Callithrix jacchus: one gene and its partners. The protein of the gene in region 7 interacts with the protein of the main gene of each other region in a biochemical or structural test. Links are inferred from orthologs where the notes say so. Each region holds a gene or a part of one and is shown on either strand. Other genes may lie near its edges.

The links.
Region 1: the proteins of TJP1 (region 7) and KIRREL1 form a complex in vitro, tested with the Homo sapiens proteins (3 studies listed by BioGRID and IntAct, with this or other methods). The link is inferred for Callithrix jacchus from reciprocal best matches to the Homo sapiens genes TJP1 and KIRREL1.
Region 2: the proteins of TJP1 (region 7) and CLDN2 form a complex in vitro, tested with the Homo sapiens proteins (2 studies listed by BioGRID and IntAct, with this or other methods). The link is inferred for Callithrix jacchus from reciprocal best matches to the Homo sapiens genes TJP1 and CLDN2.
Region 3: the proteins of TJP1 (region 7) and CLDN8 form a complex in vitro, tested with the Homo sapiens proteins (2 studies listed by BioGRID and IntAct, with this or other methods). The link is inferred for Callithrix jacchus from reciprocal best matches to the Homo sapiens genes TJP1 and CLDN8.
Region 4: the proteins of TJP1 (region 7) and CLDN4 form a complex in vitro, tested with the Homo sapiens proteins (2 studies listed by BioGRID and IntAct, with this or other methods). The link is inferred for Callithrix jacchus from reciprocal best matches to the Homo sapiens genes TJP1 and CLDN4.
Region 5: the proteins of TJP1 (region 7) and CLDN1 form a complex in vitro, tested with the Homo sapiens proteins (2 studies listed by BioGRID and IntAct, with this or other methods). The link is inferred for Callithrix jacchus from reciprocal best matches to the Homo sapiens genes TJP1 and CLDN1.
Region 6: the proteins of TJP1 (region 7) and CGN form a complex in vitro, tested with the Homo sapiens proteins (2 studies listed by BioGRID and IntAct, with this or other methods). The link is inferred for Callithrix jacchus from reciprocal best matches to the Homo sapiens genes TJP1 and CGN.

Annotation. Positions count from the first base shown.
Region 1 is NC_133519.1:18,182,298-18,186,445, reverse strand, and holds the start of KIRREL1 (kin of IRRE-like protein 1), read right to left. Parts: upstream 2,845-4,148; 5' UTR 2,813-2,844; coding exon 2,761-2,812; intron 1-2,760. UniProt on the Homo sapiens protein: Required for proper function of the glomerular filtration barrier. It is involved in the maintenance of a stable podocyte architecture with interdigitating foot processes connected by specialized cell-cell junctions, known as the slit diaphragm.
Region 2 is NC_133524.1:103,499,382-103,503,729, reverse strand, and holds the start of CLDN2 (claudin-2), read right to left. Parts: upstream 2,902-4,348; 5' UTR 2,778-2,901; coding exon 2,092-2,777; intron 1-2,091. UniProt on the Homo sapiens protein: Forms paracellular channels: polymerizes in tight junction strands with cation- and water-selective channels through the strands, conveying epithelial permeability in a process known as paracellular tight junction permeability.
Region 3 is NC_133522.1:36,260,459-36,264,383, forward strand, and holds CLDN8 (claudin-8), read right to left. Parts: upstream 2,594-3,925; 5' UTR 2,422-2,593; coding exon 1,747-2,421; 3' UTR 507-1,746; downstream 1-506.
Region 4 is NC_133503.1:9,873,272-9,877,022, reverse strand, and holds CLDN4 (claudin-4), read left to right. Parts: upstream 1-1,476; 5' UTR 1,477-1,663; coding exon 1,664-2,293; 3' UTR 2,294-3,173; downstream 3,174-3,751. UniProt on the Homo sapiens protein: Can associate with other claudins to regulate tight junction structural and functional strand dynamics.
Region 5 is NC_133516.1:19,268,490-19,272,673, forward strand, and holds the start of CLDN1 (claudin-1), read right to left. Parts: upstream 2,818-4,184; 5' UTR 2,579-2,817; coding exon 2,356-2,578; intron 1-2,355.
Region 6 is NC_133519.1:11,422,551-11,426,178, forward strand, and holds part of CGN (cingulin), read left to right. Parts: intron 1-1,723; 5' UTR 1,724-1,737; coding exon 1,738-2,616; intron 2,617-3,628. UniProt on the Homo sapiens protein: Probably plays a role in the formation and regulation of the tight junction (TJ) paracellular permeability barrier.
Region 7 is NC_133507.1:7,945,245-7,948,872, forward strand, and holds part of TJP1 (tight junction protein 1), read right to left. Parts: coding exon 3,424-3,628; intron 2,784-3,423; coding exon 1,911-2,783; intron 1,774-1,910; coding exon 1,676-1,773; intron 1,102-1,675; coding exon 874-1,101; intron 1-873. UniProt on the Homo sapiens protein: TJP1, TJP2, and TJP3 are closely related scaffolding proteins that link tight junction (TJ) transmembrane proteins such as claudins, junctional adhesion molecules, and occludin to the actin cytoskeleton.

The DNA of each region.
Region 1 (4,148 bases), on a different chromosome or scaffold from region 7:
GCGGCGGGGGGAGCTCTGGGGACTGGCTGGGCTTATTTTTCTCCTGCCCCCACATCCATCCCTCCTCTGGAGGCAGCTCCCGCCCCGAGCTGGCCTGTCATCCCACATTGCTCTGATTAGCTATAATCTTTCTTTTTCAATTTCTCCTCCCTGAGACTAGGGAGCGAGAAAATCTCCCAGAAAATGAATAAATATTTCAATTTTCGGCGCAATCAGTCTGTGGAGCCGGCACATGATGGAAACGGGGGGAAGGATAATGGTTTTCATTTAGATAAGATACAGAAAATTATTTAGTGAAAAATGAAGATTGATGAAGCCCATTGAAATTCTTTAAAATGCAATTTTTATTTCTCAGCCTAGGCTGAATCTCCCCTTCCCCTCGCCTCTCTGCTCCCCTCCATTCTGTGGCCTCTTCCTGACACCTACTTCCCCCATCCCCACTTCCCAGCCACCATCCCTCCTCCCTGATGTAGCGCCCTTCTCCGTTTCCTCTCTCACTGCCCCAGTCCCTGACCTAGAACTCCTTTCTGAGGATGGAGGCTAAGGAAAGGAGGTCCTGCCAAGCCCTCCACCCCCATGTGCGTCCCAGTCTCCCCAGACCCCCACTCCTTCCCTCCTCGCCTCCTCCCCGGTCCCTTGCCAAGCTTCCCCCAACACTCACGAGTGATTTCTCTCCCCTCCTGTCTAGTCTCTCCCTTTCTTTGATATCTTCTCCCCCCACCCCAGATACTTTCATCAGGTCCTGCTTTCACCCCTGTTGGAGCAGGGAGGTGGGAGCTTAGCATTCCCTAGCCCCTCACTCCTTTCCAGAGGGAAAGGCACACAGCACACACTTCTTTCTGTCCCCAATTCAATCCACATGTCTCTCCTGTTTGCTAACTGCTGCTTTTGTTCCTTAAGGCTCATTTGTATCCATGTTGCTGACATGCAAGGACTGCAAGAAAGGGGCAGATGTAAGCTTGCCCCCAACGTAAACCAATACTGACCCAGGGGCCCCCTCTACCACCCCCACCATGGCCCACCCCCCTTCCTCCCCGACACCAACAACTTGGCTGAACAAAGTCAGAACTTAAGTCATCTTACCAACTTTCTGCCAAGTGGCTGGCCTGGCCTGCCAACCCCAGGGCCAGGCCTCCTCCTTTCCCCCAGCACCACCTCCCACTCTCGGCGCACACCAGAGATGTATGCCCCTCCCATATGTGTGTTGGGGGGGGCTGGCATGGGTGCCCTATGGGGAGAGATGAATCAAGACCTGCCCCCACCAACTCAGCCAAGCTCTGCCTTTGGAGCTTCTTTGGCAAGGAGAGGAAAGGTCCAGCATAACACCGAACCTACAAACGCAGGAAGGGAACTGAAAGCAGGGCAATAATGCCTGAGGCTGTTCTCAGATCCATTCCCAGACACCCCTAAAAGAGACCCCCTCCACCATCTGCAGTCGGCACTTCTCCATAGGTGTCTGCCCTTATGAATGTCGGTTCAAGTTTCTTTGTTTGCTAGAGGGTTGGTTTCTGTGCGAGCGTGTGTCCTGTCCTTGTAAACGCCTGCATACATGTACTGTGTGTAGTTGTAACGTTTGGGTGGATGAATGTATGCGCGGATCTGGGGGAGGAATCTGTCTTCCTCAGATGTCTCAGTGTCTTTGTGTATATGTGTCTGCCTCAGTGTGGGGGATGTTTGCGGGAATGTGTCTGTCTCGGTAGGTGAGTAGTCTGTCTCAGTGTCTGTGAATGTTTTACGGTGTCTGTGTGTCAATTTCTGTGTGTCAGCTCCATTTTTGGGAAGGGAAGGAGTTCAGCAGGATTCAATCTTCCTTAGAATCAGACCCAGGAGGCAAGAACCAACTCCCACAGACCCCAGTCCTTGCTGCATTCTGGACCCTTGGTTCCCTCAGCCCTCTTCCCTCCCCCAACCCCAGCCCTGCCCAGGATACACTGACATCCTCACCTCTCTCAACCACCTCCCTCACCTCCCCGCCTCTCCCCGGCCAGTTCCAAATAACCCCAGACATCAACACTTTTCCTGAGCCCAAGTAAAATGTCAGCCCCCTCTCCCCACTGCCCCCGCCCCCGCCCCCGCCCCGGTGAGTTCCCCCCTCGGTATCAAGCGGGCCTGAAGCTGTATTTGGAACTCCACTCTCCACTCAGAGCCTCCGCGGGCAGGGGTTCCAAAGCCCTTCCTCTAGAGGGAGGGGCCCCGAGACACCCCTCCCTTCCTCTAGAGGGGACATCCCCAGGCAGTCTGGAGCGGTGGTTCAGACTCGGTCCCCAGAGAGGGTGGGCTGGAGTAGAGGGATCCCCTTAGCAACATCTTCGAGAGGTGGGACCCAGCTTGCCGCTCACCCCCTCGCCCGAAATCCGAAATCCCAAACTCTTCCCAGCCTTCCCCTTAGCCTGGACTCAGGCGTCCGGAACCCGGGCCTCAGAGGACGAGGGTCGGTAGGGCTGCCAGAAGCTCGGAGAAAGCGTTCGGTTCCCCGTTTTACTCGGACCTCCAGCCCTCGCGGCCCCAATGCTCGGTTCTCCCGCGCAGCCAGAGGAAACAACTTGGGCAAATCAACGGAAAACTCATTCTCCCCAGGCCCCCGTTACTCCGCGCCTCCGCCCCCGGGGCTCTGCGCCCAGACCGAGCCCCCGCCTCGTGGCGTCCGGACCCAGAGGCTGGCCACGGGCCGCCGAGCACCCCAGCACTCCCCCAGCGGGGGCGCAGTGCCCGGGCCCAGGCGGGGAGCCGAGCGTCCGGGGGCGGGCTGGGGGCCCTTACCTTGGGAGAAAGTATCGGAGAGAGTGAGGATCCAGACGAGGAGGCTCAGCATGCTGTCCGCCCGCCGTGCGCCCGCCCGCGGCTGGGGCCCGGAGTTGGCGAGCGAGCTAGAGGAGCGGGCTGGGGAGGAGGGGAGCCCGGGAGCCCGCCCCCCGCCCGCCCGCGCCCGCCCCTACACACACACGCGCGCGCGCGCACACTCACGCGCACAAACTCACTTCCCTGCCCTCCGATTCTCTTTATCTCTCTTTCCTCCCAGTCCTTTTTCTCGTCCCGGTCGCCCTCCTCCTTTAATTATTTCTCCTTTCAAGCTTTAACTCTCAGGGTCTCTTTCGGTTTTTGCCCCCCCTTTCTCTCCCCTTCTCTTCCTTCCCTCTCTCCCCCTGCCTCCCTGCCTGTCTGCCTCCCTCCCTCCGCCTGACGTCTACTCTCCCTCCGACGGCGCCTCCCTCCACGGGCCCTCCCCCTCCCCCCCCCCAACCCTCGCGCACACACGCACACCCCTCGCTGGAACTGAGATGGAAGGAGAGCAAAGACAGAAAGGAATTGAGGGCAAAGGCAAAAGGGGTGAACAACGTGACCGTCGTGGGCTCTGGAGCAGGCACGACAGGACCCCTGCCCACCCCACCCCTCCCATTTATAGACGCAGTCTTGGTCGCGGGCTATGGAACTAAGCAGTGGAGGAGGAACACGGCTGAGGGACATAGCCTCTAGTTTAGAGGATGGGGAGTGTGTGTGTGTGTGTGTGTGTCTAGAAGTGGGGTGGGGGAGCAGGGAGTTAAATAAACATAAAGACATTTCTTTTTAAATCCCACACCCAAAGTCTAACCCCTAAATTCCCCAAATTAAGATTTCTCAGTTGACTAATGAAACCTTGGAGAGGGGAGGGGCATACCTGCCTCTCTCCCTACCCACAAAACCCAGAGCTGGAGAATCGGAGCTACCCCTTGGACCTGCCTTGAGACCCTGTCCTGGCTTCACCCAGACAAGGTCGAGCACAGCTAGGCGTTGGAGGACTTAGCAGCCTGGAAGAGGCACACTTGACTCCTTCTTTTGTTCATCTTAGCCTTCCATCCATCCCGATGGAGAAGCTAGCCAACTGGATGGCTTTGAAGGGCCAAGGCCTGGCCTCACTTCCCTGAATGCAAGCCAGAGGAGAGGACAGCCACCAGAGGATCTCTAAGCACGCTGGAGTTTGAGATCTTTTGGGATAGGAACGGAGGAACTAGGAAGGAAGAGCATTCAGGAAGGATCTCCACTTTCTTAAGGGCCCAGTTTGGCAACCAGCTCCTCTTCTCACCCCTAACCAGATGCTTCTGCTCACAGGGTTGCTGGGAATGCTGGAGGGTCTGGACCCTAGGGAATGAACAGAGGAGTCGCAGGAATTG
Region 2 (4,348 bases), on a different chromosome or scaffold from region 7:
TATTTATCCACCCTGTGGAAAGAAATGCCAGTTTCCACCCTCCCCTCACCTTAGCCGAAATCCCTCCAGTTTCACTTGCCCGTTCTGGGCCCCTTTTAATCAATAAGACAGTTACTCAATCAACAAGTGTTTATTGATCACCTACTGTGTGCCACTGTTACAGATAGTCTGGGGGAAACAGAGAGGTCTAGGATATAGCCCCCACCCACCAAAGAGTTTACAGTGTATTTATGAGATCGGACACACAGACACAAATAATGATCCATCAAAATTGTGAATGCTAAGCATCAGTAAGCAATTTACACATTGAGGGTTGGGAGAGGGTGGGGTAGGAGAGTGATGGAGTGATCAGAGCAGGCTCAATGAAGGAAGTGATGCTGAGCAAGTTCTCCAAGCCTGAGTAGGACTTGGCTAAGGGTAGAAGGCCTTCCAGGTTGGGAGAGCAGCTGGAACGTAGGCAAGAAAGTGGACATGGGAAAAGCATGTTACAGACAACACATGGGCCCTCTCTGCTGACACTGAGGTTCGAGGAGGTGTGCTGGAGTTTTTCAGTAGTCGGTCATGCTGAGACTGGTGAGGGAAAAAATCTTTGGTATATGACTTCCTACTCCCATTCCAGGGAACATTTTCAGAACTTAGAGGTGGAACTGTCTTCCTGGGAACCATTCTCCACTCTCCCACCTCAGCTGCAATCCCAGGCAGCAGTGCAGCTATCACTCAGATCATGGACATAACACGGTGGGCATGGATATGCCATGCTGGAGCTCTTGGATGCCCTCTAGCCACTCTAGAACATCTGATGGACAGTGGGGGGAATCTGAAGGGGTTCACCTGGTGCTGTAGTATTTCAGAGGCTCTGTAGTGCTCTGTGGGTGGACCCTAGGGGGCCTGATCTCACTTGAGCTGATTTTCCATTATGCCTGAAGACATTCTGGGGGGCTGCCTCTTGCTGACATAGTAGAAACACCCACTGGAGCCACCATACACATCCACCCGGTTTCTTAGACACCAAGGTTCTTATTCTTTCTTGGCTAGCATCAAGGAATGGTATCTTCCTCAGTAGATACACTGCTCCATCCTGTGTGTGTACTGATCCATAGATCCCACACTGTCATCCCCCAGCCAAGGGCAATCTCTAGAAAAACTAGTTCACTGTTGCTAAGGAAACCATTGTCTGTAGCCCTTAGCCTTGTGGTTTAGGCAGGAAGACAGGACAGGTGCCCCAGAGGGAGGCAGGGGCTTCAGTGAAGTTGTGATCACAGCTTCTGAGGCTGTTCCTCAGTGGAGTCAGAGTCTGCTGCCACCTGAGCTTTCCACCAGATCTTTTTTCCTTTCCTTGTGCTTTCCTTAAGCCACAGGCTCAATCCTCTGACCACAAATATGAGGGAATTCTGGAAAGTGCCCTGGGAAATGGGTTCTGCTTTTTTTTTTTTTTTTTTTTTTTTTAATGTCCCAGGCTGCCTTCCCATCCTCCCATCCTACATCCTGCTTTCTGTTCCCTGGATACTGTGGGATGGCTTTATTTCAGTTTATGCACAATTAGTCTGGACACTGTGGAGTCATAACAAGAGTGGGATGGAGGTTCCAGGGCCAGTCTGTTTCTTTGGAGGGAGGCTTGATAAGTAGGTTAGAGCAATGTCCACAAAAGCCACCGCTTCTCCTTCCCGTCCCCAGCAAAGAGCTAAGAGCCAACTCAGCCAGAGAGAGGGTCAGTCTGTGAGATGTGATTAGTGGGTGTGGGGATGGAGTCCCAGCTAAACCAAAGGGCAAAGGGATCATCTGGGGCCTGGCTCAAAGTAGGGGAGTGGGGTTTCAAGTTGAGGGTTGGGGATTCAGGGAAGGGGGGCGGCAAGGTGAGGAAAACAGAAAGGTTAGCATGGCGAGCATCTTTGGCAATTCAACCTGCATGCTGTTACACTAGCCCCCATTTCTGCCTTTGCTCAATCCAATGCCCAAAGTCAGTTTGTCCTCAGCAGCACCTTCTGACGATCCAGTGGTAATGTCCCTCACCTGTGGTTCTCGGGGTGCTGTCCACTGTTTTTCACAGACCCAGCCACCCCCCATATCTGGCCCCTGGTTCTTCACACATACCCTGTCAGGCTGTAGGAATTGAACTCACTCTTGACTTTAGGAGGTTGTTGACCAGGTCTTGGAGAACTCCTCGTGGCAAGAGGTTGGGCTTGGTAGGCATCATAGTAGTTGGAGCGATTTCTCCGGGATAAGCAGGAAAAGCAGAGGATGACTCCAGCTATCAAGGAGAACAGGGAAGAAATAATGCCCAAGTAAAGAGCCTCTCCAATCTCAAATTTCATGCTGTCAGGCACCAGTGGTGAGTAGAAGTCCCGCAGGATCCCATGAAGATTCCAAGCAACAGGAATGAAGCCCAGGAGGCCTCCAAGGATGAAAAAGACTCCACCTGCTACTGCCACTCTGTCTTTGGCTTGGGATTCCTGGCAGAAGACTGTGCATCTCATGCCCACCACAGAGATAATGCAGGCCAGGGAGGAGATTGCACTGGATGTCACCATCATGGCCTGGGCAGCCTGGATGTCGGCGGGCAAGCCCAGAAGTGTGCTATAGATGTCACACTGGGTGATGCCTGTGCTGTGTGTGGCACACTCCATCCAGAGGCCCTTGGAAAAGCCGACTGCTGTCACAATGCTGGCACCGACATAAGAACTTGTTCTCCAGCTGGGGAGCAGCATGGCAACCAGTGTGCCCAAAAGCCCCAGAAGGCCTAGGATGTAGCCCACAAGTTGGAGGCCAAGAGAGGCCATGGTAGAACCGTCTTCAGGGACTGCTCCCTTATCTTCAGACTGAAGCTCTTGCTCCTGGATGCCTCTAATCCCTCATTTCAGAGTCTCTCTGCCAGGTTGACTTCTCTCCTCCTTACAAGTGTCTGTGGGTGGCCACAAGCAGGCTCAAGAAGGCATGTAGAAGACCTAAAACAATCCATAAACCAGATTAAATATTGACCAGAAGCTTATGAGAAACCAGAAAATGCTAGATGCCTTTTGACCTTTGTTATCTTTTAAAATAACACATGAGAAAGGAAAAAAAAACTTTGAATGTGGAGCCAAAATGTCATCGCCTCCTGCGTAGGCGCATGCCTTAGGTTGGCATCTGGACAAAGCCAGGAGCCAGACAGGTGGCTGCCTTCCGGGAAGGTGATGATGGCAGTGGCGGTTGTGGTGACTGTGTTAACTCAAATGCTAGTCTCCAAGGCCTGCTGTTTAATACGTTGCCAAGAAACAGGGCCATAAGGCCCCTCAGTTGCAGACTGAGGCCAAACTGCAGATCGCATCAGGAGGAACAGATTCTAGAATGTAGTCTTGGACTCCAGCTTGTTAGAGGCATCTTGAATCTCCAGGCTAGTGGCCTAGCCTGGAATCCCCCTGCCCATGGTGAAAATCTTCTCCAGGGCAGATGAGGGTAGGCAATAAAGTCTTCTGTCCATAGTTTGAGAGTTCAGATCCTCCCAGCCATGCCCAAATCCCCCTCTGTAGCCTGGCCTAAGGCCTTCTGCATGTGTAACATGCCCAGACATTTCCTGTCCAGTCTCCTAATAGATGCCCCCCTCATCAACCTCTCAGATGATGAGGGAGCACTCTAGAGCAAGAGTTCTAGGACTGAGAGGGAGCCCTGAAATTCTCTGGGTAATCTGTTAGGGGCACAAGGGTCTGCCACAGAGGAAAGGCAAGCTGCTCTAGAATATAGGACTTTGCATGAGGCAGGTATCTGAGTCAATGCTTTGGAATTTCAGAGCCTTATAGGACTTTGCAGTGTTCAAGGATCCCTCAGTGTTACCAAGGTTCAGGACAGTAAGGGTCAAGGGCACACCTCCCCATTCTCTACAAGACCCTCTGACCCACTAATTTTTCTTTCTTTTTGAGACAGGTTCTCACTTTGTCACCCAGGTTGGAGTGCAGTGGCATGATCTCGGTTCATTGCAGCCTCGACCGCCTGGGCTCAGGTGATATTCCTGCCTCAACCCTCCAAGTAGCTGGGACTACAGGTGCACAGCACCATGCCTGGCTAATTTTGTGTGTGTGTGTATTTTTTGCAGAGACAGGGTTTTGCCATGTGGCCCATGCTGGTCTTGAATTCGGGCGTGTAAGCAATTCGCCTGCCTTAACCTTCCAAAGTGCTAAGACTACAGGCATGAACCACTGTGCCCAGCCTAACCCACGAATTTTTCAGCCCACCACAATCTGGCTATCGCATTTTAGCCTTCTTCAAGGTTTCTATTCTTCTACTCATCTCTTAAATGTGAATATTCTTCAGAAGTCCATCCTTTTCTCAATTAACACTCTGTCTGTGAGCAAAATCATCTGCCCCCATAACTTAA
Region 3 (3,925 bases), on a different chromosome or scaffold from region 7:
CAGACAGCCCTTTTTATATCTCCTGATTCTACTGGGTAATCAATGAACTGTTCAGAGTCAGCCTCACCTTTGAACTATCTGTCCTGTAAAAGATTTAATATCATAATTCATATAAGCATTAGAGGTCCCAGCAAAATATGCCCCCAGAACATTAGCCACTGTTATTTATTATTTCCCAGAAGTAGAAATATATATTTAGCTACAGAAAAAATTTAAAACACAGCTGTTATATACATAATATTTATAACATATAGATTTGTGTGAATCTATAGTACTATCTTAAATTATAAATACATTATCTGCATTGAATATTGGTATAGAGATCCAATGATTATAAGGATCATTGCTGATAAATAGCATAGAGTAATTTATATTTTCAAAAATTAATGCTATGTTTATCTTTCAAAGGTAACTTTGACATTCTCAATTTGGACAATAAAAAATATCAGGTTTTTCAACTCTTCTGCAAATTAATAAAACAAAAGGAGACTAGTGAAAGAATGTCAAATAATTATAAAAAGGTACAATTTATTAATATGAAAGTATAAAGCAAATAGAACACATTCATTTAAGCTAGACGGATGTAGACACAAACTTTCAGATTGGATTGTCAGTTTTATCAAATTTGGAATACACACAAACACACTATTTACAGATTTTGGTAAAACTTAACAGAAATGGAACAAGTAGGATATTTATTTTTCACAGAACTAAAATGACACTAAATGATTTATGTACTTGCAAAGGAGCCGGTGAAGTTTTCAAAGGCTAACTTTATTTTTGTTGTTGTTTTTATGGTAGCCAAATGAAAACCCAGACATACTCTCCTGCTCTTTTACTTATGTTGATGAAACCTCAAGGTCTGTACTCAAATATGTATTAAATAGACCCATACATACATGATTTCTTGCCAAAAGGCATCGTTCTTCTTCAAATACAAAAACATAATAGGAAAAAAAAAATTCACTTTCCTAAAACAATCTTAGATCACACTTTTATCTTTCTTCTGAGTACAGCCCTGGAAAAGTAGTTTGAATGCAAAGCCCCTTGACAAAATATCTGCTTTTTAAAAATGTTAATTTAATATACAAGGAAAAAAAAGCCTCTGGGAGAAGAGGATAAAGGAGTTAGAATTTGTAACTCCTAGGCTAAAAAATAGCATATCAGAAAGCCATTCAATTTCCTTTACAATGCTGATTAAAGTTTTCATTTTAACCTTCATTATAAATGAAGGACATTAATCCCTAAGCTGTTTTTATACAATTAATATTAACCTTCTTCAATTCTACCCATGATTTCCTGGAAAAGCAATAGTTGAGTTGTATTTATTCAGTGTAATGGATAGGTTTTTCATTTTAAATAAAATCATATAAACATGTCTCTACGTGAGATATAAATGTTACACTCATCTATGTATGTAATGCTAAGTCATGGAGAAATTACAATGGTAAAATAATATAGTCATTAGCAATGTCATTTTGAAGTAACTGATAAAAAGAGTAAATGTTTGAACCGTCTTAGAAAACAAATTACTGTACTTTCTAGAACAATCTAGTACTTTCTAGAACAATATCTTATTCTGCTGACCTAGCTTGTAGAATCATAAATAGCTGATACACAGTTCCTGTGATTAAGGTTAGGCAGTTAAGAACAGCAAATCAGTTTCCTGGGGGTCCATTTTGAGAAAATAATAGAGAATTTAGTAATTTGTATGGCTTTATAGGTAAAGTTAAAAAAAATACACAACTACACATACTGACTTCTGGAGTATACAGTCGGTGACTTCATTTCCGTGTGATAACTTTTCTGGGTTGTTCGATGGGAAGGTATCGAGTATCTGTAGCTACTGCTCTTTTCATTGGAACAAAAAACGCAACAGAACAGGGCTCCTCCAGCAATCAGCACTAGTGCCGTCGTCCACCCTATGTAGAGGGCTTCTCCAAGCTCACGTTTTTGGGCAACATCCACTATTGGGTTGTAGAAATCTCTGATGATGGAATTGGCAACCCAGCTCACAGGGATGAGCACCACTATGCCTGTGATGATGAAGATGATTCCAGCCGTCAGCAGAGTGTGACCCTTCACCTTACTGTCCTCCATGCACCTGGTGCATTTCATGCCAAGGATGGCTATCATGAAAGCCAGGAAGGACATCACGGAAGCAGCACACATCAGTCCTCTGGACGCCTGTAGGTCTGGAGAAAGAGCCAGCAGAGAATCATAGATTTTGCACTGCATCCTGATGTTAGCATGCCTCACGCAATTCATCCACAGTCCTTCCCAGAGGTTTTCAAAAACCACAATGTTGCTTCCAATGAAGGCAGACACTCTCCACTGAGGCATGACGGTGACAGCCACTGTGCCCACCATGCCAACACCACCAATCACCAGTCCAGCAATTTGTAAGGCATAGGTTGCCATTATCCTCTGGGATGGGTTTCAGCCGCCTGGACTCTTGAGCTGCTAGGTCTGCTTTGAAGCAAGGTTCACTGTGCCACAGGATAGAACAGTTTTTCCTGGAGTAATGAACTCAGAACCCAGTGGTTTTTCAAATAAGAGCTGCTTTGCTACTTCTGGCTAGATAAAATCCAGTGCTGGCTGGCTGAGCTGCCCCTGCTATTGACTTCAACAGGGAAACTTACAAATCAGGTGCGGCAACTTTCTCAGCCAATGAGAGTTGGATGGTAACCGAGGTGAGTCTAAACCAACACTTGGGTACTTGGAACGGCTAGACCTGCACATAAACATTCTTTATACTTCACAGTCTTCCAAGAAGACAGCAGTATGTTTACCTGTAGGCATAATTGTAAGTGGTTGCATAAGCATCCAGAAATGAGCCAATCCCTTGTAATGTGAAAGGTGCACCTTGTACAGGCAATTCTGATACTCTTAGTAAGAGCTGCTGGGACCAAGGGATAAAATAAAATAACTGCCGGAGAATTCTGCAACGCTGTCGAAATGCCAAAGTGAAACGAGGATAGGGGATTGAAAGATTGCTTTTACCTGGGAAACCACATTCTTTGGGACACATGTGATCCAAGTGATTGATTTAATTTGTGTACAACTTCAAAGCAAGCTCTATGCTGGGGTGAAATCAGGGAGCAGCTCATGCCAGAAGACAAAATAAGCTAAAGTAATTAAATACACAAGGCTGTCCTTCTCCTTGGCACCTAAAACATATTGGAGTTTTTTAAGCCAGAAAAATTACTCATTGGCATTTTTTTTTATAATCTTCATTTATAAATTTTTTTTGCCAAAATAAATATCACCAGATGATTTTCTTATGTAGCCCGCACTATAGCATTTAAACCATAAAGTGATTTACAGCTTGCTAGCTTATGAGCATATTTTGTGGTGTTATTCTTGCTGCTTTATCTTCCTGGGCTGAAGGAACTAGAATTCTGCAGATGGCACAAGAGCCTTGGGTCTATGCAAATGGGTGATAACTTAAAATAAAATATTTACAAGACAAGGGAACTATACTTACTAAACTGTATTATATTAGGTGTTAACCAAATTTGCTTTCCTACTTTTTAATATCATGTCTGCAATAGGACATAAAAACCCCTAAATGCAAGACAATTTGAACTTTCCTCTCAAGATAATGATAATCTAACAGTGGTGCTGTACGAAGCATAAATGTTTATCTGAGAAGACTCCGCTAGCAATTTTCTTCTGGAGATCAGCTTGAGCCCTCTGTCCGATCTTTCCAAACTTAAAGCTGTATTCCATTTGTTTTTTCTCCTTAACATCATGGAAACTGATCTTTCCTTTACAATTTTACTTTCTCTCTGCTTGATTAGACTACCTTAAATCCAAATAAGGGAGAAAATGTTTTCTTCTAGTTTATTAAACTTGGAGAGTTTAATGGTTCAAAAAATCTGAGTTACTTATGGACATTATTGAAACAAAAGCTATGGTAGGA
Region 4 (3,751 bases), on a different chromosome or scaffold from region 7:
CCACCAGTCTCTCTGCCTGGCACATCTCTCCTGGGGGCTCTGTTCCCAGAATGAGCTGCCTGGCCCACCCTCGGTCTTTGTCCCCTCCACCAGAATGTCCTCCCTTAGCCAGTCCAGTTGCCTTGCAGAACTTTTCTTTTCCTTCCTTTTTTTTTTTTGTTTTTTGAGATGGAGCCTCACTCGGTTGCCAAGGCTGGAGTGCCATGGCGAGATCTTAGCTCACTGCAACCTCCGCCTCCTGGGTTTAAGCAATTCTCCTACCTCAGCCTCCTGAGTAGCTAGGATTACAGGTGCCCACCACCATGCCCAGCTAATTTTTTTTTTTTTTGTATGTTTAGTAGAGATGGAGTTTCACCATATTGGTCAGGCTAGTCTTGAACTCCTGACCTCATGATCCACCCACCTCGGCCTCTCAAAGTGCTGGGATTACACCGTGCCCAGCTGCCTTGCAGAATTTTTCTGGAGGACCTGTTCCTGATGCTTCTGTAGCATAATCCAAGAATCCAGCACCCCCTGGAGTTGTGCCACGCTGCGCCCCTTTGCAGTCGAGATCCCCCAGCACCACTGCCTCCGCCCCGGGAGGGTTCCCCTTTCCTTTGCAATCTCCTGGGACTTTGCACCCACTCTGGCTTTATCAGAAGGTTTTGTGTCTCCACAGGGTAAACACCCATTTACGGGGCTGATGATGGCTCCAGGATCTAGTTCACGGCTTGCTGGTGACCCGCCCTACCCAGTTCTGGGCAAGCAGGCTGGACCCCGGCAGGAACAGAGCCCACCAGCCTAAACTTCTACGGAGGTGGAGGGGGCACAGGCGCTGGTGTCTTTTTGGCTGAAGGTGTATCGTGTCGCAGAAAAGCCGGGCGATAAAGATGGGTGAGAGCGAGTGATGAACCCAGGGGTCCCGGCCTCCCAGCTCCTCGCTCCCCTACATGTAACTTTATCGGACCGATGCCTCGCACATTGCTGGTGAGGTCAGATGCACTAATGATCAGAATCACAACAGGAATGAAACTGCCAGTGATGAAACGGATAAGATGACAATAATCAAGGATAAGAAAGGACAATAATCAAGGTGGGCTCAAATTTTCTCCCTGAGGGTCCCAACCTGTCCTTCCACCTAAGCCTGGAATGAGGAAGCACTGGCCTGTGGGGACCCTGGTCTTCAGGCTCCCAAACCTGGCTGGGTCTGGTGCCCCCTGACCTTGCCCTGTGAACACCCAGGTGTCCCTGGGTTATGACTCAGTGTCTGTCTGCCGGCTGATCTCAGCACGGGCTTTGAGGAAGGGGAGAGGGTAGTTTCTTCTGAGACAGGAGTGACTCAGGGGCCCAGGGTTGGGGCCTCAAAAGTGCCTTTGTTGGCCTGGGTTCAGGAATCCAGAGAAACTGGTCAAGGGGAGGCCCCAGTGAGGGAAACCCCTCCCTCTGCCCCCGCCCCTCCACCAGAGCCATATAACCGTTCAACCTGTCCCGGAGAGCGAGCGCCCTGGCAGCTGCCGGCAGGAAGGAACCGGTCTGCTCACACTCGCTGGGTTGTCCATCAGGACTCACGGAGCAAAGGAGCTCTCTGCAAGGTCAAGTCCGTCCCCAGGCTTGGAATCCTACAGCCCCCCACAGCCGGATCCCCGCAGCCTTCCAGGTCCTCGACCTCCGCGGACGCTGAGCGATGGCCTCCATGGGGCTCCAGGTGGCGGGCATCGCGCTGGCCGTGCTGGGCTGGCTGGCCGCCATGCTGTGCTGCGCGCTGCCCATGTGGCGCGTGACGGCCTTCATCGGCAGCAACATCGTCACGTCGCAGACCATCTGGGAGGGCCTGTGGATGAACTGCGTGGTGCAGAGCACCGGCCAGATGCAGTGCAAGGTGTACGACTCGCTGCTGGCGCTGCCGCAGGACCTGCAGGCGGCCCGCGCCCTCATCATCATCAGCATCATCGTGGCCGCGCTGGGCGTGCTGCTGTCCGTGGTGGGCGGCAAGTGCACCAACTGCCTGGAGGACGAGAGCGCCAAGGCCAAGACCATGATCGTGGCGGGCGTGGTGTTCCTGCTGGCCGGACTGCTGGTGATAGTGCCCGCATCCTGGACGGCCCACAACATCATCCAAGACTTCTACAACCCGCTAGTGGCCTCCGGGCAGAAGCGGGAGCTGGGCGCCTCCCTCTACATCGGCTGGGCCGCCTCGGGCCTCCTGCTGCTTGGCGGGGGGCTCCTCTGCTGTAACTGCCCACCCCGCACAGACAAGCCTTACTCCGCCAAGTATTCTGCCGCCCGCTCTGGCGCCACCAGCAACTACGTGTAAGGTGCCACGGCTCCGCTCTGTCCCTCTTGTCTTTGTTCTTCCCTGGACTGAGCTCAGCGCAGGCTGTGACCCCAGGAGGGCCCTGCCGTGGGCCACTGGCTGCCGGGGGCTGGGGACTGGGCAAACAGAGACTGAGCTAGGTAGGAGAGCAGCAGCCTTCAGCCTCTCCGGCCCACTCGGACACTTTCCCAAGGCCGCCTCCTGCTAGCAAAGACAGATGCCACCCTACTCTGGATGTTTCGGAGGGACGGAGGTGACAGGGTGTGGTGGTGGAGTGGGGAGCTGGCTCCTGCTGGCCACTTTGGGCTCTGCCCGCATCGGTGTTGGCCACTGTCCCCATTTACAGCTTCCCCACCCTGTCTGCCTGCATCTCCTGAGTCCACCTCTCTCCCTGGTGTCTCCTCTGTTCCCCGGGCAGGCCTTGATGTCACCTCTGGGACTGTGCCTTGCTCACCCAAACCGGCGCCAGGGAGTACAGCTGAGGCCTCACCCACCCACCTGCCTGGGCAGTGCAGAGTGGATGGACGGGTTTGGAGGGGAGGGGTGACTGCAATGTAAACAGGTTTGGGCAGTGGTGGGGGAGGGGGCCCAGGAGGCCACTCTGGCTGCCCAGCTCTGCGGCCTCAGGACTCTCTGCTACACCCACTTCAGCCCAGGGCCCCTGGGCCTCTAGAGACTGATCCCCTCTAAGTCCTTTGTCCCTGCCAAGGACACTAACCAGCCTGGGAGGATGGCAGGGAGGAGGGGATGGCTTCATCCTCAGAAGCCCCGGGGTTTTTGCTCCACCTTCTTTGTCGTTTCTGTTTTGTAATTTAAGAAGATCTATTCACCACTGTAATTATTATTATTTTCTACAATAAACGGGACCTGTGCACAGGAATAAGTTGTATTGTCTCCGATTTCTGCTGTGGAGGTGGGCGGGGCAGGGCTGGAGGCCTGCGCCGGGGGTCGGTGAGGAGCGGGATCACTGGGCTGTGAACACTTAAAAAGAAAAAACAGGACCCAGGGAACGGTGAGAAATTGAAGCTGGGCCGGGTGCGGCGGTGTGCACCTGTAATCCCAGCACTTTAAAAGGTGGAGGTGGGAGGATCACTTGAGGCAGGAGTCTGAGACCAGCCTGGGCAACACAGTGGCCCCATCCCTCCAAAAAGTTAAAAAACTGAGCTGGGCGTGGTGCCTGTAATCCCTGTACTTGGGGAGGTCGAGGTAGGAGGTCTGCTTGAGCCCAGGAGTTTGAGGCTGCAGTGAGCTTGGATAAACCACTGCACTCCAGCCTGGGTGACAGATCGAGAACTTAAGTCTTAACGAAAAAAAATCAAAACGGGCCTCCAAGGTATCAACTTAAGAAAGAAATTGAAAAAAAAAAAAGAAAGAAATTGAAATGGGCCTCCACAGTATCACCTAAAATTAAAACAAACAAACAAACAAAAAACAGTGAAATGGGCCCACAAGGTATCA
Region 5 (4,184 bases), on a different chromosome or scaffold from region 7:
AGCAGGAAATCAAGATATTTTAATACTTCCAGTGCTAAAGCCTTGATAAAACCCTGCATCTGTACTCTAAGACATCAAGTGTGCTCTACTGGGAAAGACAGCAAGGTACAATTCCAGGAAACCAACAGCTAAGCTTTTCACCTAAAGACACTCAAGGAAATGCAGCTTTTTTATGAGGGATACAGCTTAAATATGCACACATAACCCTTTTCCTCTCTAGATGTAACAAAACTATACCAAAAGCAGCCAATGAATCACCACCCTAGATCTCTACAGCTAGTGGGCGTGAACACCACTGCTCAGGCAGAGGAATGGAGAAAAGTTTCCTGGGCTCCATCCAAAAGCATCCAGTGAGTCATGGCAGGTTAGGAGAGAGAACCTGTGAGTCAAGGGTCTCTCTTCCGAGAATTGGTTTTGAGAGAAAAGCCTAAGCCACACCTTGGATAAATTATGGCTTTCAGTAAAACAAAAGTGGATTCTGATCTGGAATTTAAAAAAAAAAAAAGGAAGACATCTCTAAATTGTGTGTGTGGGGGGATAGATATTTAGTCCTTTCACCACAGTTTTAAAAACTTTAATAACTATATTATCCAAAAAATGAAAGCAAAATGTTTTAACACATTATCATGTAAGGATGATCCATTTGAATACTTACAACATGGATCAATCTGATTTCATTTGTTTATTTAAGGAAGTTAAAGGAAAACCTATTTTAAGATGTCAAAAATGGACTATTTTGACCAGAGCAATGAAACTGAGAGTGAGACCTCTCTGGAATTGTTCTTAGAAACTTCTCCAGCCTCCAATTCCTTCATGTGGTACCTAAAATGCCCGACACCATTTCCTTAAATATACTTATCTTTCCATGGAGAAATTCAATAATTATTGCCAAATTTTTCACTTTATAAATACAAATACAACCTATGAGGGCAATAAGCAACACATAATTACCAAAATTATAGATTGGTTTTGGTTTAAAGAAGTCCTAATATGGAAACCTTCAAAAGCTGAAATAACACTCAAAACGACCATGCACATTGAGCAAATGCCACAGGTACTCAAGGTGTTTAAACAGATTTGGAACAGGCTTAATAACTAAACTATACAGCTTTTGACATACCCTATTAAAAGTTGTTCTTTGATAGGAGGTGAACAAAACAAGTTAAGTAAACTTGAACAATGGCAACACTTCTTACCCTTAGCACTCCATGGGGGCCAGTGGGCAGTCATGTTTATCTAGGCAAAGACTGAGGGACCTTTTCTTCAAGTTAGTTGAAGGGAATAACAAACATATGATATAAGACAATTAATGTGATTTCTCAAGGAAGATACTCCAGCAGTGAATCATTATTACCTAAGTAAATGGGTATTTAACGATTTTTCTGACAATACACTCAAAACCTTTAATTTAAAAAACATATGTAAAAACAAAGATCCTATTATCCTTCTTCCACCATGCTTAGAAATATGTCTCTCTATACAGTCCTTTCCAACTTGACAAGGGGTCACTGAACATCCATGGCACAGAAATTCCTTTGTGGAAGATGGAAACCTGAAAGACGCACCTCTTCTTTCTTTCTCACTGCCTCCTGCTCCCAGCTGACCTCTCATTTCATCAGCTGTGACTATTTTGCTGCATTTCCCTTCAGTGTCTTTACTTTCCCCTTTGTATTATGTTGGGCAGGTTATTTCGAACCTTTCTTGTCTGGCTTCTGCCACCTGCCACCAACCTTTTCATTCCAAGATAGCACTACACAATCAGACTCTACTGAAGACGTTGGGTCTAAAAGTTAAAACTTTGTGGGAAACTCAAGTGGCTTCTCCAAGGAGTCTTGCAAGAGGCCTCGCTGCACTAACTGAATCTTAAAAATGGAAAGAATCAACCTGAAGTATGAGTAGCAGACACTTAGATAGGATATTTCAAGTAGGGATGTAACTTTTGCTATGAAAAATCATAGTAAAGATTAAAAAATCGATCTAATACTTGAGGATTTTTAAGCTTGCACACCTGAGTAGTTACCAGGAGCATGTCTAGGAGAGGCCTAAGAGCTCAAGTTCAAGTCTGGCCTTCACTCTCTCAATCTCGACCCACCAGCATAGGAATTTCAGATGAAGCCACACCTAGTGTGGCAGAAAAGTGCCACCTAGGGAGTTAGAGGCAACACTAGAGCTTATGCCTGGGCATCCCTTGTCTCAAACCAGGATTCGCATTTGCTTATGACAGAGCACGTCATCAGAAGACTTGATCAACTCCAGACTGATAACCATGTAATCACACGACAGAATGAGCCCATAAGGGAACGGCAGGGGGACTGGGGCCTCTGGACGGCGGCTGTGAGGTGGGGGTGCACTCACTGTTCAGATTCAGCAAGGAGTCAAAGACTTTGCACTGGATCTGCCCGGTACTCTGCGACACGCAGGACATCCACAGCCCCTCGTACATGGCCTGGGCGGTCACGATGTTGTCTCCGGCATAGGAGTAAATCCTCCACTGGGGCAGGGCAGTGCTGACGATGGCGCCGATCCATCCCAGGAAGGCGAGAATGAAGCCTAGCAGCTGCAGCCCCGCGTTGGCCATGACTCGCTCGGGCGCCCGCGCTGGCTCGGGGTGGCAGGTGCAGAAGGCGGAGAGTTTGCAGGTGCGCAACGCGAACTCCCGAAGGTGACCCGGCCCCGCGGAGGAAGTTAAGGCGGGGAGTCCAGCTCGCTGCGCAGCCGCTGGAGAAGCTCTGGGTCCGGGTCGGGGTCCGGGTCCGGGGCGGCGCTGGAGTCTGGGTACTAGAAGCTGCGGTTGCTCCCGAGCTCAGGAACTGAGACGCCAAACCGCTGGGCGCCGCGATTTAAATCAGCTCCGCCCGCCTCAGCCCTGCAGCCGGGGAGCGCCCCCTGGCGGTTTCGGGGCGGCTCACCGGGAGGGGGCGGGGGGAACGCGCTGCGGGCGGTGTGGGGACCTCCCCGCAGGACCAGGCACCAGAGCTGCGTCGCTGCTCCTTTCTCTCGTGGATCTCCTCGCTCCTGTCAGGAGTTTCACGCTTTTCATTCACTCACTCCAATCATCCAAAAATTACTATGCACTGTACCTGTAAATCCTAAAAACAACGATGAAGAAATGAGCCCTCAAGAGCTGCGGTTTTAGCTTTAATACTTTTTCCCAATATCTTATTGAAAGACATGTCTACCCAACTCCGCATCTCCTCCCGCATCTCACATACATTTCTCTCTCCTTTGCTCAGCTTCCTCCCCTTTCTCCTTTCCCCTGCCCCCTTCTGTCAAGCTCTTTCCATCACTTGTCTCTCCGACGGCCCCCAGAGATCTATACACTCTACAGATTGGGAAGCTGAGACCCAGAGAGCAACATGATCCACGCGCGCGCGCGCACACACACACACACGAGCATATCAGTACTTGGCTCCCCTCCCAATCTGCTTTCCACCACATACCAAATTGACCCAAAAATATGCCCTTTGATCTGTGATTGTCCTTTTGATGTATTATTGCCCTTACGAAAATGCAGCCTAGCAGCCCTCGCCTGCCAAACACCAACCTCTTCCCCACAGCAGTTATGTCTTATAGCAGCAATTCATTATCAGAGGGACTTGGCCAGTGGTCCGCTCTCCCTCAAAGGTGTTAATTTTGTGAATTACCAAATGTTGTTTGTCACAGGTGAGGGCATGTAAACAGTGCTTCCCCAGTGGAGAAAAGACTGCGCTGGAGTTTAGGAGGGCCGGGCTTTTAGGAAGTTCTGGCTTTCACTGCAACTGGGTATGCCACCCCTCCCTTTTTGGTCTCTCTGGGATGTTTGTTTTCCTCTAGGGTCTCTAAAGCTTCCTTCTTTGCAGTTAGTCAGAAGTGCTGCTGTGGTTGGGAATAATTGAAATGTTTTTCCAACTGCTTTTTGTGTGTGGTGCGAGTGTGGTGGGAGGGGAAGCTTCTGTGGTTTTAGTAAAAGCAGAAGATCCTTAGAGGCAGAGATAAACATATGAAGGAGAAAAAAAGATCCACCCTTGTATACCATGGGCAGCTGCTAGTTAGTGACAGAGAAGGAAAAGCGCGAATGCTCAAGATGGGAATGGGAGGCAAGGCCAAGCCCTCCTGTCATTTCCACCTGGCGCTCTCTGGATGCCTTTTGGGACAGCTTATAGCTAAAGAACTTGGCCATACTAGGATTTGGGGACAAGCAATGA
Region 6 (3,628 bases), on a different chromosome or scaffold from region 7:
CTCTAGTCCAATGCATTTTCTACTGGATGAGTGGCTTGGAGAAATGTTCTACCCTTCGGCCTTCACACACCTTTTAAGAGGGGGTGGTAAAAGTTTGTGTGTGCTGTCTCCTCGGGGAGGGTGCATCGCTTTCATCATTTCCTCATGGAGTCCCAGGGCCAAAAAGATGAAGAATTATTCCTAATAAAGGGATCTCCCCTCCCCGTTCTTTTCTCTTGAAAATTGCTGGGAATTCTAAGAATGCTCTTCTTTAGATAGGAGACCTTCCCCACCAAGCCCTTTGTCACCTGTAGCTCTGCCTCTCCCATCCCTTCCCCTCCCCTCTCATCTCACCTTCATTTCCTGGCTTGCTAGCGCTTTACAGTCTCTGAAAGGGGCCTTGCCAAGTTTCCTTGGCCCAGAGCTCCACGGGGAGGTTGAGTTGGCTATGTTTGTGTTTCTGTCTGGCACGTTAGAGGCTCCTCCTCCAGTTTGGTGCTAGGCTCTGGTAGAGACTAGCGGAAGGGGTGGGGAAGCTGAATTTTTTTATTTGCTTGGAAGATAATCTCTCCCCCGCCGAGTTCCTGGAGCCAGAGCCTACCTGGAATACATTCCATTTGCTGACTCTGAGCTCGAGCAATGTGGACCTGGGAAGCTGGCCTATGGATAGTGTTGGCTCTGGCTGTTAGCTGAGACAAGTTTACTTGACCTGGGGCTCCTTGGAGTGGCACAGTTTTTAAACCATATTTAAATCTTTTCTTGAATAGATAATACCTCCACATGGTTCCAAATTCAAAAGGGACAAAGAGATAGACAGTAAGAAAGTCCACTCCTTTCTGCTCTTCCAGAGAACAGAAACTCTCCCATCCCTGTTTCTAGTACTTACTAGAAAGGCATCACTGCTAGCAGTTTTTTTAAGTTTCTTTCCAGAAGTGGGATGATACACTTTTATTTAAAAATTTTTTTATTTATTCGTTCTTGTTACCCAGGCTGGAGTGCAATGGTGCGATCTCGGCTCACCGCAACCTCCGCCCCCTGGGTTCAGGCAATTCTCCTGCCCCAGCCTCCTGAGTAGCTGGGATTACAGGCACACGCCACCATGCCCAGCTAATTTTTTGTATTTTTAGTAGAGACGGGGTTTCACCATGTTGACCTGGATGGTCTCGATCTGTTGACCTTGTGATCCGCCCACCTCGGCCTCCCAAGTAGCTGGGATTACAGGCGTGAGCCACCAGGCACGGCTAACTTTTGTATTTTGTGTAGAGATGCAGTTTCACCATGTTGCCTGGACTGGTCTTGAACTCCTGAGCTCAAGCAGTTGGCCCGCCTTGGCCTTCCAAAGTGGTGAGATTACAGGTCACTGCTCCTGGCCATCAAGCAAAATCCTTAAACTTTTAACAAAGCCTAGCTCCCCAGGGCTGTATCAGAGGAAATGGATTCTTTTAGGTTAGTGAGTCTCAAAGTGTGGTATCTGGACCAGTAGCATCAGTATCACCTGGGGAACTTGGTTAGAAATGCAAATTCTCAGTTCCCAACCCAGACCTACTCAATCAGAAGCTCTGGAGGTTAGGTCCAGCAACCTGTATGTTAAAAGGCTCTCCAGGGGCCTCGTGTTAGTCTGAGAATCCAGTGGTTTATCTGGTAGGAACTGACAAGGCAGTCAGCCCCACTAAAGCTGGGCAAGTAGAAGTTTCATAGTTTCTAGTTAACTCTCTCAGCCTAAACTCATTTCTTCATCTTCTAGGACTCCTCCTATTCATGGAGCAGGCACCCAACATGGCTGAGCCCCGGGGCCCTGTAGACCATGGAGTCCAGATTCGCTTCATCACAGAGCCAGTGAGTGGTGCAGAGATGGGCACTCTACGTCGTGGTGGTCGACGCCCAGCTAAGGATGCAAGAGCCAGTACCTATGGGGTTGCTGTGCGTGTCCAGGGCATTGCTGGACAGCCCTTTGTGGTTCTCAACAGTGGGGAGAAAGGTGGCGACTCCTTTGGGGTCCAAATCAAGGGGGCCAATGACCAAGGGGCCTCAGGAGCTCTGAGCTCAGATTCGGAACTCCCTGAGAACCCCTACTCTCAGGTCAGGGGATTTCCTGCCCCCTCGCAGAGCAGCACATCTGATGAGGATCCTGGGACCCAGTGGAATGGAAAGCTACTCCGTTCCCAGTCCCAGGCCTCGCTGGCAGGCCCTGGCCCAATGGATCCTAGTAACAGAAGCACCAGCATGCTGGACCTAGCCCCAAAAGCGGCTTCCCCGGGCAGCACCATTGACACTGCTCCCCTGTCTTCAGTGGACTCACTCATCAACAAGTTTGACAGTCAACTTAGGGGCCAGGCCCGGGGCCGGACTGGCCACCGAACACGGATGCTACCCCCTGAACAGCGCAAACGGAGCAAGAGCCTGGACAGCCGCCTCCCACGGGACACCCTGGAGGAACGGGAGCGGCAGTCCACCAACCACTGGAACCCTAACACAAAATATGACAACCACGTGGGCAGTTCGAAGCAGCCAGCCCAGAGCCCGAGCCCGAGCCCGAGCCCTCTCAGTGGCTTAAGCCGTGCCCGTCAGACTCAGGACTGGGTCCTTCAGAGTTTTGAGGAGCCTCAGGGGAGAGCACAGGACCCTACCATGCTGCAGGTCAGACCCAGCCCCTCCGTGGCTTCCAACTGTCAGCCTCTTCTCCCTTATCATCTCCTTTACCCACTAGCCATAGGCCACCTTGCTAATTCTGGTAGCCTAGGCAGAAACTGTCCTTTTGTTCTCCGCTGTATCTGTCCAGAAAATAGGTAATATTCACATGCACAAGGTATTTCCATGGGTAAAATCCTGAAGAAAATGGACTGAGCTAAAAAATCGTTATTCACAAGTTTGGACCTAGTTGTCATTGCCACAACCATGAACTATGCTCAGTCACCAGCATTTGCCAGGTCTGCAGCACACGTAAGGCAGGCTTGGAGGACACGAGCAGTTTCCTTGGTGCTGTTGCTAAAATTCCACACCTTTCTCTCCTACTCAGGAATGTAAGTGAGGGAGCCACTTTACTTTGAGAGAAATTTAAGTTCATTTTTTTTTCTCTGTTATTTTTCTCTGCAGAGCTTGCACATAAAAAGTATATTTTTCTTTTTCTTTCTTTCTTTTTTTTTTTTTGAGACGGAGTCTTGTTCTGTGGCCAGGCTGGAGTGCAATGGCGCAATCTCGGCTCACTGCAACTTCTGTCTCCTGGGTTCAAGCGATTTTTCCGCCTCAACCTCCCGAGTAGCTGGGACCACAGGCATGGGCCACCACACCGGCTAATTTTTGTATGTTTAGTAGAGACGGTGTTTCACCATGTTGGCCAGGATGGTCTCGATCTCTTGACCTCGTGATCTACCCGCCTCAGCCTTCCAAGTAGCTGGGACCACAGGCACGTGCCTAAGTTCATTTTAAGAGTAAATTATTTATCAGCTGTAGCATGCTAACTGCCATTGGTGACAAATCACTTGCAGCACAGTTCGCAGCTGGTTGAGATGTTTGTTGGGAGAATCTGGTTGGCAGCAATAGTGTAGGGGGCATCTGCATTGGCCTCTCCCTGGCCTGTTGCTCAGGCCTCCGCAGCACGTCTTCTTTGCTGCACTTCAGAGTCGTTCATCATGCTTGAGGGGCCTTGACC
Region 7 (3,628 bases):
AATGAATTTTTTTTGACAAATCCACATCTGTTTTTGCTCTTGTAGGTTATTTTCTGTTGAGGTACGAACCTATCTGTGTGCCTGTGTGGGCTCAGACCCAACTATCAGTACCAAATTCTCTTATCAGCCATGTGGCTTCACTTGAGGTTTCTGAGGTTCTGGGATCCTAACAGATAATGAATGACAAATGGAACAACTTTTTAGATATTAAGGTTAAGAAGGAAGTAGAATACGTAAGTCTTATCTTGACCAAAAGGTTAATAACCAGAGACACAGAACCAGCAGGAGACACAAACCCACATAAGGCACAAGAAAGAGCAAACCAACATGAAACCCAGGGACAAGTAAACAGACAGGAACAGCAAGCACAGGGAAAAGATGACTGGGAATCAAGAAACTTGGGGTTCAGTCCCAGCTGTGCCCTCACCTGTAAAACCAGATCAAAAATCTTGCCAAAAAAAAAAAAAGTTCTTTCTTGCCTTGAAAAAAACAAAAAAACACAAAAAGCAAACCTCTTTGGTATTTCCCTCAGACAGGATCCTCCCACATCTGTTTTTATATTTAAAAAATAAACATGGAAAAGAACCAGCATAAGGTCATTAGGTGTGTGTACAGAAATGAAGACTGATGACTGCCTAGTGCTGAGGGTCCTTGCAGCTGACACTGTCTTCTGTCAAAACTCTGTGACGTTAGCATCTTTGTGAATGCAAAAACTGTGTACATCTAATAACAGACTTTAAAGACAAAACACACATCCCAGAATTAAAAAGCATGAAATCATAATTACACTTAAACTATTTTTCTTCAAAATATGTTGGACTTCACGATTAATATGCTGCATCCTATTTTTAAAAGCCAGGTGAAATAACTTACTTTGAAGAATAACTAGAAAAATTTGATTGATTCTGAGAATGAGCTGGCTTTGCAGGCTCAGAGAGATGGCTGGCAGCAACGTGTGCAGGAGGCTTATTTTCAAAACTTCTTCGGTCAAAGTATGAGAGCTGTTTTCGATAATATTCTTCATCTTCTTCAGGGTCATAATGATTTGACCGAACGATATCTTCAGGTGGCTTCACTTGAGGTTTCTGAGGTTCTGGGATCCTAACAGATAATGAATGACAAATCGAACAACTTTTTAGATATTAATGTTATGAAGGAACTGGAATATATAAGTCTTATCTTCACCAAAAGGTCAATAATCACTAACTGCTGTGATTACTCAGGATCTAACTGAGCAGTCCAACAGTTAAAATAGGTATTTCAAATCCCATGTCCTCACAGAGCAAACTCACAAGGCAGCCCCCTTCTGGCTCATGAGTCCTTTAACACAATGTAATAACCTAAATGACTATATGATTAGGGGGACAGCAGGGTAAAAGCAGTTATTACAAAGAGAAAGGGGAATGTAACCAAGGCAGTGAAGAACATCTTGAGAAGTACATATACCAATGTCAAGAACAGTCAATGATAGACCTGAAGAACTTTCAAAGGGATTTTTGAGAACTTCGTCCAGGATCTCAATGATTCACGTATGAGCAAATCACTCTATACGCTCTAAAGTTCTAGAAGGCATAGAAAGCAGATGAGGAAGAAAGCAAGTCATGAAGTAAATTCACGTAGAGAGGGTTAAATTCCCAGGCAGTTCTAGGCCGCAAAGGGCACAAAGTGCACTCACCTGTACAGAGTTTTGTCATGTTCACTGAACTGATTCTGAGAAGTGGGTTTGGGACCAATGATGGGAGCACCTTGAGGTTTAGATGCTACTTCTGGAGGCTGTTAAAAAAAAAAAGACAAATACACCTAAGGAACAGATAACTACTGAATAGATGTCATGTAACGGGGGAGGGAAGAGCAAAGAAGCCTTTAAATGAGTGTACCTCATTTAAAAGAAGCCTTTTCATTTAGTGTACCTTAAAACCAGCAGTGTCATTTACATCCTTCTTGGTCTCTAAGGATGCAGATCTTTTGTTTTCAAACATCTTTACTCTGGTGAGCACAGACTGTGGCTTCATTGCTGGATCTTCTTCTTCTTCACTTAGAGTTGGGGGTGGAGGCAGTGGTTTGGTATTTGAAGGCAGACCTTCTGGCTTATGCTGAGATGAAGGTATCAGCAGAGGGACAGCTGCAGCACCATGGAGAGGCTCAAAATGACCTGCTCTAGAGGCAAATCCTTGGGGTGGTACTTGGTCGTAACTGCGTGAGTATTGCTCAAAATACTGCTTGGGCTCTGTGGGTTTGGGCCCTACCAAAGGGTAGGGCTGGGCTTCTGGTCTATGTCTACCATGTGTGTCATACCCAGCAGCTGGCTGCTCTTCGTGCCGCAGGGTGGATGCTCTAGGGGCCTGTTCATAACGTGGTCTGCTATCATAGGACAGAGGGGCTGGCTCTTCAAAACGTGGAAAGTACCCTCGTTCTGAGGACTCTTCGGGATGCTGTCTGGAGTCAAGGTCTCGAGAGTGCTGATTTTCAAAAGGTGGCCGAGACGGGTAGGGCTGTTTGTCATCATAATATGACCACTGTTCTTCATACATAGGGACACGATCTTCATATCGCAGACGATGGTCATAGTTTCGAGAAAACTGGTCCGTATAGGTTGAGGACTCATATCTGTATGTGGGCTGCTCAAGATCTCTGCTGGCTTGTTTCTCTACGTATGGGAGTTGGGGTTCATAGGTCACATTAGGCTCTTTGTCTGGCCTGTGCCCTGAGTGACCAACGGCTGGCTGTTTGAAAACATGGTTCTGCCGCATCATTTCCTCGGGATATGGATCCTTTCTATATGCCTGTGTAAAAAATTCACAGTTAAGGACAGTCTTGTTTTTAATTCTAGTCTATTTTATTAGATTATGATTAAATATTAAACTATGATTTAATACGTGATAATGGTATGTTATACCATTTATTATCAGGATAGACAAGATTAGTGGAAAAAGCTGGTTTAAGTGAAAGCTCAAAATTTATAATGCAGGTAGTGGCTATTACGTTTCAGCATGTACTAAATAGTGAGTTAAAGATAAATATTAAATTTAGTAGAAAATTAATGCACTATTGATTACACTTCATTTTGACACTGAAAAATCCGCAAGAAAATTTATGAGCATCATAATTTGTATTAACATAAGTATGTTTCTGATGGGTCTCAATTACGTATTAAGGAATTCTGGAAGATACTGAAAGCCAAAAATAAAAATAATAAACATAATAAGCACGAATCTCAATTAAAAGGCCTGTTTTCAAATAATCAGTGTACCACTGGAAGCCATGCAAACTCCAAAACTGAAATGATTTGATTGATGTGAAAGCATTACAGTGTATAAGCCTGCAGTAAAAAAGCAAAAGGAACACTTAAAGGGCAAAGCAAAAATGATCATGTGCCAGATTGATGGAGAGCAACAAATTAGGACAACACTGCAGCACAGGTACCTTTGTTGGATCTACATGCGACGACAATGATGGTTCTTGATCTCTTAGCATTATGTGAGCTGCCTCAGTACTTGGTGTTCTTAAAGAATCAGCTTGTGGTGAGTAAGAGGTGGAAGGAGCTGGGGTGGGCTCCTCCAGTCTGACATTAGTTAAATTTACATTATGATTAACAGCAGAGGTTGATGATGCTGGGTTTGTTTCAGGC